2 linked regions of the Drosophila melanogaster genome follow. The gene in region 2 interacts genetically with the main gene of each other region. Each region holds a gene or a part of one and is shown on either strand. Other genes may lie near its edges.

The links. Genes that interact genetically often act in the same process or in processes that back each other up.
Region 1: of Smurf (region 2) and sog, changing one enhances a phenotype caused by changing the other (phenotypic enhancement), as found in Drosophila melanogaster (one study listed by BioGRID).

Annotation. Positions count from the first base shown.
Region 1 is NC_004354.4:15,630,435-15,635,523, forward strand, and holds the start of sog (short gastrulation), read right to left. Parts: upstream 3,001-5,089; 5' UTR 2,375-3,000; intron 1-2,374. UniProt on the Drosophila melanogaster protein: Putative negative growth factor. Antagonist of dpp, a protein involved in patterning the dorsal region and in the development of the neuroectoderm; dpp inhibition is enhanced by tsg.
Region 2 is NT_033778.4:17,590,779-17,595,941, reverse strand, and holds the start of Smurf (SMAD specific E3 ubiquitin protein ligase), read right to left. Parts: upstream 3,152-5,163; 5' UTR 2,630-3,151; intron 2,475-2,629; 5' UTR 2,093-2,474; coding exon 2,038-2,092; intron 1,977-2,037; coding exon 1,938-1,976; intron 676-1,937; exon of another isoform or gene 659-675; coding exon of another isoform or gene 1-658. Other genes in the region: ND-51L1 (NADH dehydrogenase (ubiquinone) 51 kDa subunit-like 1), read right to left, coding at 1-658; CG30105 (uncharacterized protein), read left to right, coding at 3,525-3,914, 3,979-4,056; icln, read right to left, coding at 4,176-4,704, 4,791-4,909. UniProt on the Drosophila melanogaster protein: E3 ubiquitin-protein ligase which accepts ubiquitin from an E2 ubiquitin-conjugating enzyme in the form of a thioester and then directly transfers the ubiquitin to targeted substrates.

The DNA.
Region 1 (5,089 bases), on a different chromosome or scaffold from region 2:
CAGCGAAGACTACGTAAATCAAGATGTTAGTTCATAAATTCGATTCTCAGTGTGCTGCTCATCTATGTGTGCGTGCTGTGTGTGTGTGCTTATATGTATGTAATGTGTGTGTTCGCGTGTGTGTTTGTTTGTTTGTAAATTATTTAATAGCTTGATTGACAACCGTGAGCTAAGTCGATATCCGACCATAAGGTCTCAGCTCTTCGATGCTTCAACTGGCGATGCTTTTTCGATGCCTTGGCGAGATCTTGCGGTAGGCCCGATTCTGATTGTTTGCTGTTCCGAGATGTTTCTAATGTAACTGTCAATCATAAATTAGATGCCAATCAAAAGCAAATCACAACAGCAGCAAAAACAGCAGCCACCAGCGCAAAATTGCCTGCATTCATTTAAATGGCAAATGGCAAATGGCGAACGGCAAACGCACACAGAAAGACATCAAATGAAACAGAAGCGGCAAAGTGACGGCTTTTGACTGCATAACAGGCCAGAAAGTATGCGCACACTGAGAGAAAATTCTCTTTTCTTGATTTCGAAAAACAGTTCGGAGACGTTGAAGATCAATATTGGTGTGTTTCATTAGTTTAAACAGCCAAAACAGCTGAAAAGTAAGTTTTTTTTTCAATCTAGAAATATTTGCATTTTCCATAAATCGTACTGCCTAAAATATTTTTTCCTTTTGTAATTATTTGTTCAATGCAATTTCTTCAAGTGTACTACATAAATATGCACTTATGCGTGTGTGGTTGAGTACTATTTCACTGCAGTCACATGCAATTGATTTGATGGTCATCGAAGCCAGAAGGTCCAATCATTTGAGACATCTGTGTGAATCAGTTAGAAACAGTGGACAAATTAAAAGTGAATAGGTTGAAAGGAGACCAACTACTAAGTTCAAAGTTCTTAAAAAAATCTTAAAAGCATTAAATGAAATATAAGATTTCCGGGAAATTTGTGTGCGATTCGATTGAGTAATTTTCCGGAGGTTCCATCGTACGAAAGTTCACCATAGTTTGCGGCACTCAGAAAGCACCTAGATGATATTCCATTATTTATAAGCTGACTAACCCCCCATACAAACTGCCACCCTAGCAACAGAGATTCCGTGTAGCTCTTTCTCCCTTCGCCAGTCCACCCGTCCCACTCGCACTCGCACTATGTCTTTCTGTTTCTGTGCGAGAGCAGGCCAAAAATATCGCGTATACGTCATGTGTGCCGTGTGTGTGTCATGTGTGTGCGAATGTTTTGTTTGCCAGACAAAACAGCAGCACGTAAAGTGGCAGTAAAACCGCAGTTAGCCAACTGGCCAACATCGTTAAATTTTGGTCGTCTTCTTCTTGTTGTCGCGATCATCGAACGATCAAACAAACTCAAACGATCCGGCGATCGATTGTTTGATCAATTGATGGACGGAATGGGATTCGTGAGACAAGCTAAAGTTTGAACTAAGTGATGGAAGTTTTAGTTTAGCTTAATGATCGAAATAAAACACCATACAATCTTACTAACAGATTGTTGCTTAGCCATTTCAATGGTTGGTTATCATATCAGCGGCATGATAATGATGGATTTTCCGAGCGCAGTTAAACTCTTCATCACTGTCGCTAGATACTGCGAGTATCTGTCGACTTTCAAGCGATCGAGAGTACCTACACATACCTGGGCTGCGTCATCGAGTACGGTAATCTAGGTATTTACCCCCCGCCCCATTTCCTCTGTCACGCCCTCGATTTGAATCATGCTGCAAGTCGGCAACAATTGCCATTCGATTGGAATTGTAAATGGTTCGTTGTCGGTCGGTGTTGCTTTTTCTTTCTGTTGCCGGTTGCTATTGAAACGCTCTGGAAATTTCATCATTCGCCCGACCGCCCGATCGCCCGATCGCCCGATCGATCGATCGATCTATCTATCTATATATCTATGTATATATCTGTCTATCTATCCCAGCTATCCACCGATCTGCCCCCTTTGCCGTTCTGCAACTGGTCCGCATCGAATGTTCGATGTTCGATTGATTTTTCCCATTCTTTGTGATTACGTTTTTTCTTGTCTTGGTTTTTTTTTTTTTTTTTTTTTTAGGTCGCCCTTTTGGCGTCAGATTCGATCTAAACACAGTAATAATAAAAGAAATCATGCCCCATTCCTGGGTAATTGTCTCGTTTTTGGGGCGTGTGTCGCCTCGATCTCGACGATATTGGGTCGGAATCGGAATCGGAATGGAATTAGAATTGAAATTGGTCGATGACATTCCATTTCAATGCGATCATTAAAACCGAAAGTGACGGACTTATAATCCAGAGGGGCAAGAGCTTTCAGGTTGCAGGTACAGTGCGTTTCAGGATTGTATTGTTTGTTGAGACACTCTTATCATTACCTTCATCTGTTCTAGAGCTAGCATTTCGTTGCCAAGTCGCTGTGTGTTATTTAGTTATTGAAAGGGCAATAGAAGAATTCGGTTAAATAGTTATTGCTTCTCAAAACGGCCAGACTTAACATGCCGAAACGCAGTGTAGCAGTGCAATCACTATGAGTACTATTTAACGATTCACCCACGCCCATATGTGTGTGTCGATTAATGGCGATTTAAGCTGCAATTTCCACAACTAATAATCATGAGTGTAAAGTATAATTTCCGTTTCGGGCTTTCGGGCACTTTTCACGTTCCTCAATGGCAATTTAAGAGGTTCATTAAAAACCAATAACTACGACTGTAATTGCACCATTCCACAGACGCGCGCACATACATACGTTTCACAAGAAAAAAAAAATAGGGGCAACAATGAACAATGAAATAGAATATCGAGATATGGAAATATATGTTCTATATGTTCGTTTCGTTTATATGTATATGCGGACATATACATATGATTTATATGCAATACGTCGCCAAAAACGCGCGCGCAATTTTCGAAATGACTCCTGCGGGCTGGCAATCGTTATCGTTTGGATTGGTCATCGATTTCGGTGCGCGTTTCTCTAGCGTCGTTCGTTCGGTCGTCGCGATCTTTGACAAACTGAAGTTTTCAGCATATAATCATATAGACCTAGATCTAGACATAGCGGTTCGCTCTCTCACTCGATCTCCCTCTCTCTCTCTCTCTCTCTCTGGTGCCATCACTCTCCGCTCCCAATGTCGCCACCCACTCTCGCCGGCATCGCTCACCTTACCATCTCCCCCTTTCGCAAAATAGACATAGACAGCTCCAAGCGGACTCTCCTCTCCCTTCCTCTCCTTTCCTCTTCTTTCCTCTCCACGGCGGCGACAAATCGCTGTGTAGCCATGTGTATGTGTATGTGTAGCCACAGAAAGCCATTTCCAAGAGCATTACGTTAGGATCTAAGATATTACGACTTTCAGATACATTTGGTTCCGAGGGATATCTTTAGAACGCTTTTTTGGTAGCTTTATTAGAAACTAAAGGTGATTTATCATAATATCTCATCATATTCATTTTATTTGCAAACCCTTTTCAACTTTTCAGGATAAAAAAGTAATGAATAATGAATACTTTTGAGTTTTCTAATAATTAGGAACTTATTTTCACTTATAAGCTTTAAAAAACAGTTTAAAATAGTTTTATTACATAAGTAAAAAAAAATATATATTTTAAAGAAATCGCTTAATGCGTATATTTACAAAAGCTTCGTTCATGACCAATTACATTACTTCATTGTTTTTTTTTTCCCAGTGCAGCTTGGCATTTTAAAGGCTTTCGCTGTCTTCCCATGGAAGCCAAAAGCTTCTTGGCAGCCCAATCGTGCCCGGGATTGGCGGCTAGTGAGGCGTTTGGCCTCGCCCACTCGACTCGAGTACAGTGAAAACTAACCTAGGACAGCCCACAATGCCGTGGATGTGGCCAGGCGGAAGGAGCTGTATCCATTACGTTTCATGACGCTTGACGGCTAGAGATCAACACAAATATGCCGAATATTTTTGCGCCTTCGGTGCAGCGAACAAAACAACATTTGCTGACGTCACGACGGCGATGATCCATCAAAAAAAAAAAGTGCGGCGGGGCGAGGCAAACAACAACTAACTAACTGTTGGCCAAGTTATTTATTTTTGTTACTGCATTTTTGCCAACAAAGTGCTGTGGTGCTGGACGTCTAAAAATAGTCGTCACTAGCATAGCAAAGTTGTGTAGAACATTTTCACTGGCTCGATAATGTGTGTAACTATGAATACACACACTATCACAACGGTATCCAACCTTATGGACATGCCCAGTACCTCTACCATCTCTATACCCATAGTCGAGTGCTAACAATCTGGTTTCCCTTTCAATTCATATTCTGTCACGATCGAACGTCAAAGTCTCAGTCCCGACTTTTTGAATTTCTGTTTTTCTGAGTTTCTGAATTTCCAACTTACATATATATTTCGAAGCGATCGAGACTGCAACGTGATGGAAATTGGCGAGAAGCTCGAAAATGGCTGCGATTTCGATGGAAATTGGGCAATGCTCCGTTGGCACAAAAGTGCATTGAATAGAAATAAATATATTATAAATATTCATAATATATATAAAATGTGTCATAAGCTACTAATTGATTGTACTGAATATATTCAAAATCGCACTTCAAGCTTTCGAGACAAACTGGCATACTCTGTAAAAATATTATTATTATAATTTTGACATTGCTGATATAATTCTCCTCAGCTTGCTAAGAAATAGATGTTCAATAATTACATATGAAAATATTTTCAGGCACCATAAGATGTGCAAATATAAAAAGCAAATGACATATTTAATTGACAAAAAGGCTTCACCTTTTTTATATCAGTTTTTGCAATAAAATTTGCCCAATCCCTGCCACTTAGCTTGGCTAACAATTAGTAGATAAACCAGGTTGCTCGCACTGTTATCAAATTTGTTATTTACTAAATTAGCAACTCGGTTGGAATCTTCAGGGCCATACTAGCTAGCTGATATTGAAGCTGTTTTAGTTGTTTTGGCTTTTTGGCCAGCGGCTGACACGAGACGGGAATGACCCCATAAATATTTGCCTGGCAGCTCGCATTCGCTTAGCGCCAAATCAGCTGCAAATGCGGCGGCAATTAGTGCCTTTTGGCATGGGCGTTGGTCCA
Region 2 (5,163 bases):
CATTTTTAGGTGGAGGAGAGCCTGCCGGGGTGGCCGGCCCAGATCCTTTCGGTGGAGTTGATTCCTTGGCATCCACAGTCACAATAGTTCTTCCTTGTAGAGCAGCATAATTCCAGCCTATAAAATTATCCCTCAGCTCGTCAACTTTCTCATCTAGTCGAGATTTCTTTCTTTTAGCCATATCTTTAAGCCTTTTTAACAAATTGGCCTCGAGTTCTCTTTGGTCGGCTGGATCTAAAACCTTCTTGGCATTTTCATTAATAGGAAATTTCGTTGTGGGCGGAAGTTTCTCAGCTGGAAATTTTGGGCAATCTACTTCGGATTTTTTTATGCTTTCCCTTTTTTTGGCTCTTTGCTCAGAGGACAGCAAATCGTCGTTACAATCGGTTTGAGATCCTTCTCTCATAATCAGCACAGGTTTGGCTGGCCGCAATAAGAGTGGAATAACGCTTTCAGCGTCACTTAGTTGGTTCTTCTTCACATTTTGTATGCTAGAAGTTCGGTATATGTTTACCAGCTTGATATTTCCAGTTTTATTACCAGGTCGTAAGGCATTTTGAAGGCTTTTTACTTCTGTTAAGGCTCTATATGCACGAGTTAGTCCTAATGAAATCTTGTAAGCATCACAAGCTCGGCGTTTTAACAGAAACGATATCATGCTTTCGTCTATATTCTTTATCTGATTAACTGAACTCTTTGGCAAGTGTGTTGAATCAAAGGAAAATTCAAAGCATACTACTTCCACATTTTTCGAACTTGATATGTTAAAAAAGTTTACATTACTCACAATAACGAATATCGGAAAGTCCCATTATGGATTTTCCCTATAATGACCGTAAGCCCCGCTGGGTTCAACTAAAATCTTATCACAAAGAATCGATAAAATATGAAGAACCAACTACTAGTGTACAATGTATATGGTAGTAGAGGGAAAATAGCAAATGAATGCGCCATATTCTGTAGTCAACCACGGAATTCAAGCATTAGCATTAATAAACAATTCATTTGAAGTGACACCAGCGGCCACAGACCCATTTTCGGAAACCCAAATATCCCCCTATTGGAATCTCACGGATAAGGAACATCGAATGTTTTTTTTTTTTTTTTAGTAGCACATTGAACAATGCGTGGCGCGTGATTTAAGTGCAACCAAGTGTACAAAAATGGACAAGAAGTGGAAAAAGCGAATAGTAAATCACAAATACACAGAAAGAAAAAATATTGCGATTGTATTTGTGGACGAGCGAGTGAGTGAGCCGCAATGAAAGCAAATTAGTAATAATCACTTTTGTTATATCTAACAAAATATGGGAAAAGAGCTCAGATATGGCGCACCACTCGCACTCACCCACTCGACTTGATGGGCGCGATGGGGGGAGGGGGCTTTTCCGCAATTTGTATAAAAATGAAAGTAGACAAGAAAGGAAGTGCTAAATTTAGCGATACCTTATATGCATAGATGAATGTGAAGAAGAGGAAACAGCAGCACCACAAGCGCCGCAAATAAAACAAAACTTTAATTTACCACAATGTGTGTTTCGATTGGACGGCTAAACAGGTGCGTAATTGATGGTTTTCGAAAAGAAAACCAAACGTGAAAACAAAGCTTGCTGGGTCTGGCGAATGCCAACTGCTCCAAATTTCCCGTAACTAACCAAAAGTGAGTCAAGAAATTAGCCCAAACATGTGAGCAAATTACGAAAATAAGTGATTACGCCAAAGGCATGCTGGGTAAATAGTTTTAAGGAATTTTTTGCTGTTACATTTAATATTTTATAACACTAACGATTAAGAAGTACAGGGTAAAACTTTTATGCTTTTGATGACCGGAAGTTCTGCTTTAGGAACTAATTTAGACCGTCCTATTTGACGGATAGGTGATAGGCACTAAGGAAATTAGATGCTAAGATATATCCAATTAATATTAAAATACTTACGAAATAAATCCTTGCGGGCCAAGTTTCTAGCACACAATACTGCAAGTAAAGCGATATATTAGTGGGTTTTATTAACAATTGTTTTTATCAGCAGACTTACTCGTTATTCGAACTTTGTGTGTACCATTGCGACGTGGGTAATCCAATTTATTCATAATTTTCGACTTTTAATTGATATTGTTTGATTTGTATAAAAATAAATGGATTTACTTTGTGTATTGATTATTTATATGTCGCGGGCATGTTGTTGTAGTTGTTGTTGTCGTTAAAGCGCCGAACGGAGAGCGAAGAAGAAGAAGTGCAAGTAGAAGGTGGAGGAGAGGAAGCAAAGGAGGTGTAGGAGGAGCAGGTGAGGGCGGTGAGAGGTAATTTCATTGCCGAAGGTAACTGCAGTTGTTATTGTTGCTGCTGCTGCTGTGGCGGTAGCCTTGACGGTTGCAATTGTTGTAGTTTTTGCGTTTGTTGCTGTGTGTCATGGCACACGCACATAGATATATTTGTATATAAATAATAACACCGATTTGCTTTTTTTATAGGCTGCAATCCAAAGATAACAAATGGAAATGGGTATTATTAGTAAGTTCGTTAGAGATAATGTGTGTATTTTCCCCCCAAGTGCAAAAACCCAACCCAAAAGCGAGGGCGTAGGTAGGAAATCGTTCAGGTAGGCAAAATATTCACGAAAAACTCACCCGAAATTGTTTTGCTGGTGTTGTTGTTGTTGCTGCTGCACCTCACACGCACATGTCTCGCTCACTCTCTCACGCACACACACACGGACGCAGTTCACGCATGCTGCAGGGGAGAGCGGGAGCGGGGTTCGATCTGTCTCTCTCCCTCTGCCACTCTATTATTTCACAAATTGCATTAAATGAAATACCACTGTGTGTTTAATTAACTTTAATTTAGTCGCTGCTCCAGTATGGGTGCCACACTATTTACTCGCACTAGTATTTCCTTCGCTATCGATGTGTGCGCGAGTGTGTGTGGTACTAAAATTTGCAATAATAATCAAAGGAGGCACACTTGTATTGTTCTAGTTCACTAAAAATCGGACGAAAACTCTGCGAACAACGCACGCCCACACAGTTGCTCGTCCACGGAACGCTTGATAGTGCGCGAATTATGCTGCCGCGGCCTCACGCGCTATTGTTTTACGGATTCCCATAAAAATTTAACTACAACTTCGAACGCCATTTTTATTAGTGGTGGCACAAAGTCTAGTGCTGAGTGAAAAATCGATTACTCTCTTATACTATCGATTTTTTAGTGCTAATATTCTTGGAAAACATCGCATATTGTCAAATATATATATATAATACGTATGTAGTCAGATACTAAATTTAAAACAGCATGAAAACTTGTTCAGTGATGGTAAACAGTGATCTCGTTACCATCTACAAGCTTTGATTTACAATATAATTGTATGTTTTTGTTATATTGTTACTATCGAATTAAACTACTATTGGCTATCGGTTGTAAATCGATGAGTTTAGCTGCTACTCAAACCATCCTTCTTAAGCGCAAACAAACAAACACATTTTGGCGGAGTTTTTGTTTACCTTTTATTTTGCGCAAAAAGTAACAATGTCAATTACTCTAGATTTTAATGGTAAGAACTTTGCCAAGGGTAAGAATTTAGACGTGCACTACTTGCCGGCCAAAATAGACGGCGATGGGGAAGCGAATGTAAAAAATTACTTCAACAACTACACACGTGAAGCAACCGAATTCGGCACAGGAATCCTGACGAACGCCTTGCGCGGATTTCCTTTAATGGGAGAGAAGTTGAAAGTGCCCGAAGGATACTGCGGATTAGTTCTGCAAGAAACAGAGAAGCCCATCAGCGATACCTCCGACCGAAAGTTGCGGCTAACTGGAGTATTTCAAGATTTTACTTACTGGAACTACGACAAAGTGCCGTCCAATGGCGATCCCTACCGACAGGCCCTTCCTCTGCCGGATGTTGCTCAAGCTGTATGTATATACCACTATATATTCTCGAAGTACACCTAATAAATACCACATTTTATTTATTTAGCTCTCGCAGCCCATTAGCGAAGAGGATTTAGAGAAAGAAATCGCTCGTAATAAGGAAAACGTCAAGGAAAGCACGTAGTTTTGTTTTAATCGCGCTTACCGCGTTCTATTTATTACTCCAAAATCTAATCCAATACATATATATCGTACATTTTATCTGGTATAAAACGTGGTATTGATGTTTAAATAGGTTATGCTTCACTCATCAGCGTCCTCGAATCGCTCTTCGTCGTCGTCCAAACTGAGATTCTGCACGCCGTTGCGCCCAAGCGTCAATGCATCATCCTCCTCCATAGCCTCATCCTCTAAGCCACCGGCATCCTGCATAGGATCGCTGTCTTCCGAATCACTGTTTGCCGAATCAGGATGTAGGGCCTGGCAAGTCGTCATGGCACTGTACATAGTGTCTACGGTGTGAATGTCCTCCGGCATAAGCCAGCACTCTGTGACCTCTCCAAATTGCTCGTCTACGGCATCCTCGAAATTGTCGTCCTCATCGTGCTCATCGCTGCCATTTCCCTCGTCCACTTCCGCTTCCGAACCACCGCCATTCCGACCATTGACTGCCTGCTGGGGAGGATCTCCGTAGACGCCGTTCCACTCGACTTTGTGGTCCAGCATGAAGTAGATGCACTTTCTCGGATTCGAAGAGATACCGTGCAGGCTAACCTGCTTCCACTCAATGGATATACCCTCCGCCAATTCAGTTGGCTGCCAGGATAGCGTGCTAGGAACAAGAAATAACAGTTACTTTAAAAGATTTTAATAAATAGAGAGCAATACCAGACACCGGCAAAGCTCTAAAGCGCTCACTTTTGGGCAATGTAAACTGTGCCTTCGCCCACCACTTTGTCGCCTAGTTTCAGCTTGATATTGTTTGCCGTATACAACAGACCATGTTCCGGCGGGGAAACACGCATAATAAGAACCATTTTAATACAGCTTGTTAAATTAATTGTAAAAAGCGCGATCAAACAACAAAACTTGCAAAAATGCAGTGTTGAGTACCATTTTTTCGTCCCCCTTTTGAAAGTCTGGCAAGGGTGGCAATAACTAGGAGAGACAGCTGGACTCTGGCAACGCTCTGATGTATTTTCCTTCTTTGAATGTAGAATCATCAGAACAGGTGTTCTCGGAGGACAACTTCTTTCTTACCACTGTTGAATTTAGAAATAGATATATAAAG